Caenorhabditis elegans: one gene and its partner. The protein of the gene in region 1 purifies or fractionates together with the protein of each later gene. This does not show direct contact. Each region holds a gene or a part of one and is shown in the gene's direction. Other genes may lie near its edges.

Evidence for each region.
Region 2: the proteins of dyrb-1 (region 1) and gpr-1 purify together in Caenorhabditis elegans (affinity purification with western blotting, with the first as the bait; one study listed by BioGRID). This does not show direct contact.

What each region holds. Positions count from the first base shown.
Region 1 is NC_003280.10:9,106,011-9,109,134, reverse strand, and holds dyrb-1 (Dynein light chain roadblock), read left to right. Parts: upstream 1-1,989; coding exon 1,990-2,068; intron 2,069-2,302; coding exon 2,303-2,511; 3' UTR 2,512-2,620; downstream 2,621-3,124. Other genes in the region: dnj-23 (J domain-containing protein), read left to right, coding at 587-674, 726-1,180, 1,227-1,292, 1,396-1,515.
Region 2 is NC_003281.10:8,627,199-8,631,330, forward strand, and holds gpr-1 (G-protein regulator 1), read left to right. Parts: upstream 1-1,727; 5' UTR 1,728-1,758; coding exon 1,759-2,006; intron 2,007-2,057; coding exon 2,058-2,558; intron 2,559-2,608; coding exon 2,609-3,216; intron 3,217-3,268; coding exon 3,269-3,489; 3' UTR 3,490-3,578; downstream 3,579-4,132. Other genes in the region: polk-1 (DNA polymerase kappa), read right to left, coding at 1-134, 185-540, 589-823, 892-1,044, 1,098-1,298; DnaJ homolog dnj-10, read left to right, coding at 3,977-4,070. UniProt on the Caenorhabditis elegans protein: In the 1-cell embryo, probably together with gpr-2, controls nuclear rotation and spindle elongation during mitosis. Complex of gpr-1 and gpr-2, in association with lin-5, activates G-protein signaling to affect mitotic spindle force.

The sequences.
Region 1 (3,124 bases):
ATCGGGCGAATTTGGTTACGGTGTTAATTAAAGGTGCATACGAGTTTCAGATGACAAGGTCTCACCACGAATCACAGTCTCATGGAGTTTTTTGAATTTGTTTTTTTTCTTATTTAATTTTCAACTCCTTTTTATCGATTTTTTCTATTCTTCAGCACGAAATTAAGAATAAATTGAAAAATATTGTAAAAGTAAAATAAAAAAATTTCGCAATAGTTAACCCCAATCTTAAAACTCCTGACTTAAAATTGAATTTAAAGTCATTTCCATGATCCATTTCTGTTAAATACATTTCTTCGTGTATTAGGCAACAAACAACGCTCCAAATAATTTATATTCATCCACTCCTGTTATCATTAATATAAATATTAGTAGGTAACGCGTTTCTGCAGAAATTTCATGTCTATTTTGCATTTTTTAAATTCAATTCTGACCGAAACTCGTGTTTGAACATGGCGCTTTTTTATTTGTTCGTTAGAGCAAATTTGCGATTCCAGTCATTTTATTTGAACGTTCTTCTCCCAGTGGTATTCACTCTTTCGCAACTGTTTTCTATTGATTTCTTCCATTTTTCAGCCAGCTGATTATGTTTCTGGAAGAATGCAAAACTCACTTCAATACGGATTGTCTCTACGAGCTTCTTGGCGTGAAGAAAGATTGCGATGAGAAAGCTCGTAAGTTTTTGGGAAACAAATGTTTAAAGTTAGCGAAAATTTATTTTTTAGTTAAAAAAGGATACTACCGCCAATCAATGCGCTGGCATCCGGATAAATCGAATCTTGTAGAAGAAGATATGCAGACGTACACAACGAAGTTTCAGCTTCTCAACAAAGCTTATCAAATTCTTTCCGATGAAGAGAAAAGGAAAATTTACGATGAAACCGGATCAGTGGACGATGAGGCTGGAGAGCTGAATGAAGATGCCTTGAAAGCATGGAGAATGATTTTCAAAAAGGTGACAAAAGAGGATATCGATAGCTTCATGAAGACGTATCAAGGATCTCGTGAACAGAAGGATGAGCTCGTTGTGCATTACGAGAAATTCAATGGAGATATCGCGAAAATCAGAGAATATGCTATCGGATTCGATGGCGTCGAAGAGTTGAAAGAAGCATTGGATAAACTTATTGATGATGGAGAAATTGAGAAGACGAAGAAATATGAAACGAGCACTTCAGATGTAAGTAATGCAGGTGAAATATGTTAAAATTTATGTTTTATTTCAGAAGAAGATGAAGGCTTACAAGCGTAAGGCTGAGAAGGAGGCAATCGAAGTTGAGAACATGACACAGGTATGTCATGGCAGTAAAATCTGTCACTTTATTTATAAGTTTTATCATTTACCGTTAGGTTACATTTTTAGTATATTCATATGCATAATTATTTAATTTCCAGAACAATTCGGATCTTGTCGCCCTGATTCAAGGTCGCCAGAAGGAACGTGGCACGTCGTTCCTCGATTCACTGGCTGCCAAGTATGCACCTTCTTCCTCCAAAAAGGCAAAGCGGCAGTAATTGAATCAGAATCCGCCCCTTCTTTCGTCACAACTTATCTTTCTTCCTTTCTCTATCTTCTTACTTTTCCGTATTTATGTATTCCCCTTCCATTGGTCACTGCTCCTTGTTCCATACACTCCGGAATTATTTTTTCTAACTTTTGAGATCTCTAATCGTTTCTTTTGAACTCAATTTTTTATAACTGAAAACTTGTGAAATTGCTATGTGGTATTTATAAAAAACATGCTCACTTCTTATTTTGTGTTATTTTGTTTTTATGCCAAAAGTTGTGCCCAACTTTTGAATATCTTCTTTTCGTTTTCTCGTCGCCAAGTTTTCAATATCCGACGAAAGGAAATTGAATTTATATCTCCTCAAGTGGAAAATGGAGAAAATTTTGGCAGTTCTCAGTCGACCAGCAAGTGAAAAATTGCATTTCTGTGCTTATTTTTCTTCCATCTTACAAACTTATCAATTTCCATTTGATTTCAGATGTCTGATTTCGAGGAGACTATTCGCCGTCTACAGTCAGAGAAAGGAGTCGTTGGAATTATTGTTGTCGATTCAGCCGGTACGTTTTCCTAGATAATTCTATCCTGAAAATTGTTTAGAAATGTAAAATCAAAATTAAAAAAAAAACAAAATTAATAGAAATTGTAAAAGTTTAGAAACTAGAAAGTAACATTTAGAAAAGTTAGTGTGGTCTCAGCCGAATGGGAATTACCACCAAACCTTGACAACTAATTTTCCATAAGCTTTGACCAATAAACAATAACTGTTTTCCATGAAACTAGATATTTTTCAGGCCGAGTTATTCATTCGACAATCGACAGCGACGCCACCCAGTCTCACACCGCATTCCTGCAGCAGTTATGTGAGAAGACAAAGACTTCCATTCGTGAACTCGATTCGAGCAATGATCTAACATTCCTGAGGCTTCGAACGAAGAAGAACGAAATCATGATTGCTCCAGACAAGGATCACGTCATTATGGTTATCAAGGACCTCTCGTAAAAACTGGGACCAACATTCAAAAATAATGAAAAAGCATTATATCTTTCTACCCTGCTTGTGCGATTTTAATTTATATCAGATATTTTTTCCAAATAAACGGCTTATATGCAGTTGTTTTTTCTTTTGAAAATGCTTAGAACAGTGTCCCTCCACGTAGTAAAAATACGTCCGTAGCAAAAGAGTAAAACGTAGTAAAACATCCACGTAGTAAAAGATAAGGTAGTAAAAAAGTATTTTCCGTAGTAAAAGATCTATGTGGTCAAATCGTAGTAAAAGATATCACGTAGTAAAAGAGCTAACTGTAGTAAAAGATCTAGATGCGGAATTCGTAGTAAAAGAGATTCCGTAGTAAAAGAGATGTTGTAGTAAAAGAGATACGTAGTAAAAGATCAAGTAGTAAAACAGTATTTGCCCAATTTTTGCCTCACCCTCCGTATTCGCCAAACTTGGTTCCTACTAACTACTATCTGTTCCGTTCTCTAAAATCACCTTGCCAGGCATAAGTTTCATGATCGAAAGGTCGTCGAAACGTGATTGGACGACTTTCTACTTTACCTCTCAGAAGTTCTGTGCGGAGGGTATTGCTTAGCTTCCGTTGCGTTGGCAAGAAGTC
Region 2 (4,132 bases), on another chromosome or scaffold:
GTTCGAAGGAAAGATTCTTGTGAGAGAGGCGTGAAACACAAAGGGTATAGGTTCTTCTTCAGATTCATATCACCAACAGTTTGAATATCCATTGCTTTCAGTTGAGCTTCGCATACACGACCAATTCCTCCAACCTAAAAAATTATCTAGGTAAAACTAGAAGGTTATGCTTTAATAGTCTCACCTTACGAATCGGTAAATCCTTCAAAAACTCCATAATCGCGTTTTTATCATTTTCTAACACATATTGACCATTTGGTTTGTTCAAATCAGAACAAATCTTAGCGAGCATAAAGTTAGATGCGATTCCAGCAGAACATGTTAATCCCGTGAGTTGTTCAACTCGAAATCGAATTTCTCGAACAGCCTCCTCTCGTCCAGTTCCGAACTCCACATGGTCGTAGTAGATTTTCCGCGATTTTTCGCATTTTGGACAGATCGATTCTTCGATTTTCAAGTCTTCCAAAGTATTTTCATTCTCGTCGAAACGGGGTAACCAACATGGACAATCTCCGCCGAATCTGTGACGCTTGAAGGTTTCTAGTAAGCAAATAGTTTTTTGTTAATAATCAAATCTAAATCACTAACTTTTTTCTGTATTACTTGCCACATAGTCTGTCAAATCTATAAATGCCTCATCCAATGACATCATTCCAACATCCGAATCGTATTCCATGAAAATTTGTGAAAATTGGCGACTGACTTTAGTGTATTTAGGGTAATTTCCTGGAACAATCGTTAGACTCGGACAAAGTTTATTTGAGATGAAGCCAGGCATTCCAGCACGGACTCCAAAACGGCGAGCCAAGTAGTTGGATGTGCTCTGAAAGAATAGATTTAAAGCTTTTCCGAAATCGAAAATTTACTTTTCAAATTGAGTTAGGTGCTTACCAGCATTGCCGATGAGCCTACGGCCATAGGAACTGTTCTCAGTGCAGGATTATCTCTCATTTCAACTGCGGCAAAATAAGCATCCATATCTATACAAACACAGTCTCTTGATAAATCTCTAGATGATTCCAGTTTCATCTCAAGATTCTCCATCTGAAAATTGGAAATTTGCTCTAAGTAAATTTATTAGCTTTTAAAATACATACCAGTATCTCAGATTTTTGTCTTTCTTCTCTGGTTGCTGTTTGCAAACGATTTTTGATTTCTAAAACTTTCTCTTCAATTCTTGATTGTTGTTTTTTGGAAAACGACGAGTAGGACGCTGATGTGTTTTCTTCGATGACTTTCGTGATTTTCTCCTTATCCAGTCCATTCATTCCAGCTTTATTATCGTTGAAAGTCAGCATTTTTCACGAAAAAGAGCCGGATTTTGAAATTCGCGGAGAAACTCCACTGATTGTGAGTGTGCAAATGCGCGTAATGGTGTACTTACGTACATCGGCAACACATTTGACGACATATCAGAAAGCGGCGCCAAATTAGAAGTTGAGTGCGCGAGAAAAAACTACGCGTTAACCGCCAATTTTCACTTCCCCACAGATCTGTCTCGAGATTCTCGAGTCATTTTTCAAGTTTATTTGTTTGTCAGCGGTTGTTTTATTGAAGATTTGTAAAATTTATAACAAAATGTGCAATAGTCTATTAAACCTCGTGAGATATTTGAAGAAACTTTCCCCGTTTTAAATATTTCGTGTATTCGTGGAGATCGCGGGAATGTTTTGCCTGTTTCCGTAAAATTCCTCTATTTCTTTTATTTTTGCTTGCAATTTTCGATTCATTTCAGAAGTTTCCACATTCGCAAAACGAATGGACGTCTCTTATTACGATGGTCCCAAGGATGAAGTCGCCGAAGCAATGCTGAAAAGCGCGGTGACGGCCATGAGATTGGGACAATACGAGGATGGAAAAGGACGCTTAGAGGAGATAATGGAGTTCGGAACCTCAAATTTTCAACTACTTGGTACAATCTACATGTATTACGGAAGAGTGTGCAGGCATTTGAACCATGATGCCAAGGCCTTGGAGTTTTTCGAACATGAGTTGAACATGTTCAAGTAAGTGAATCACAAAAATGAGCTGGACATTCTATAACCTTAATTTTTCAGATTGATCTTCAACTACCCAGAAGCATGTGATTCCACACGTCGCATCGTCGAGCAGGCACTCAAAATGGGAAAGTTCCCCAAGGCTCGACGGTTTGCTGAGGATCTCATTGATTACACCAGCAATAAGAAGAACGGAGAGAAGTATATCGGTCAAGCTCGAATTTTGTTCGCTTCCGTGTGCCTCGAAGGATGTGAAAGAGACGTCGAGAGTAATCAAGATGAGAAGAAGAAGCTTTTGTCAATATGTGCTGAACAGATTGCAGCCGTGAAATTGTTCAACGAGAATAATACGGAAGGAGCTGTGTCTGAGACCAAAATCATGTTACTTGAGGCGAAATGCTTGTCACTAGACGAAAAATACGAGGAATCGCGTCGCAAGTATCAAGAATGCATCGATTTTGCCATCAAAACAGACCAGTTTGAAGCAGTTCACATCGCCTATTACGACAAGGCTCTATATGCTGAGACAGATCTTCTTTTCTTTATTATCAGAGATCTCAGGTAATTTTTAGTTTTAACGATTAATAAAAATATCAATTCTTTATTCACAGAAGTGCTCTCTTCTACGCCACGAAATTCGGAAAAGAGCGAGATGTAGTCAAATATAAGTCGAAGCTATCCGAAGAGATGCTGAGAAATGGCGAATTCCACGAAGCATATCTCTACGGATTGGAAGCGCTTGTATCGATTCGGAAGCTTGGATTGAACGAATACATTGGAGATGTGTTGCTTACAATCGCAAAGTGCCTCATTGCACTTGGAAAAAGACGCCAAGCTGCTTATTTTATCATCTTGGGGAGTGTTCTGACCATCAACCAAAACAGTTTCAAACTGTTCTACGAGCAGATCGACGTGGCGATGAATCAAGAGAGAAGCGAAACGGCAACTGATCAAGATGTATGCCTCGCAATTGATTCGTCTCCTGATCCGACATCCTCGAATGACATGATTAATAAGTTCGTCGTCGAACTGGAGCACGCAACAAATGTGGAAACCTGGGAAATGATTGTCAACGGAATCATTGACGACCAGAAGAAACCAGTGGCGATCGAAAAGAAAGAGAACGAGGAACCCGTAGACATGATGGATCTCATTTTCAGTATGAGCTCACGTATGGATGATCAAAGAACTGAACTGCCTGCTGCCAGATTCATTCCGCGTAAGAAATGTTATAAATAAGCGTATAAGTATGCAAATTTATATTTTTCCAGCTCGTCCAGTGTCATCGGCATCGAAAAAGACTACAAAGAGTCACAGAATCCTCCCTGGACTCCGTGCCAATTGGACAAAAGTGCAGTCGATGAAGTTCGATGGTCACACAATGAATAGGATCCTGAAGAGGTCGAAGAAAAGCAAATCGTCATTGGATTCTACAAATTCGATGCAGGGCGATGATACTCGAAGCGATGATGTGACAATGACGTCCAAATAGGACCATTATTTTTTCTGTCAAATAATACAATCAAACTTTCTTTATTTATTTTTTTTTTACTTTCTTTCAGTAAATATTATTATCATTTTAGTGGTTCTTTTATTTTATTTGCTGGTCAGAAAAGCTGATTTTTTCAATTAGCGAAAATCCATCAAGTCATATTTCTATAGACTCTTTACTACATACGTTGATGACTTTCGTGATTTTCTCCTTATCCGGTTCATCCATTCCAGCTTTATTATTGTTGAAAGTAAATAAGCATTGTTTCCCGAAAAAGAGCCGGATTTTGAAATTCGCGGAGAAAAAGTTGAAAATTGAAAAATCCAAACGATGCTCCGATGTTCCGTCCGAAATGTGTGTTTTACCGTGACGGTGTTTGCAGACAGCTTGAAAAAACATTTATTTTTTTATTTTAATTTTATTAATTTATTATTTATTTTAGAATGTTCTATATTTTAAAATGTGAATTTGTTTCAGGGTACTCGGAATGTTTGTCTTAAACCGTTCAAGCGGGCTCATTCATCGATCTGTACCTTTATTAGCTCAAGTATCCACGCCTACGACTTCCACAACAAAATTAGGTTAATAATTCTCCATTTGGTGATAAACCAATTCTTTTCTGCTTTTTTAAAACATTATGTTA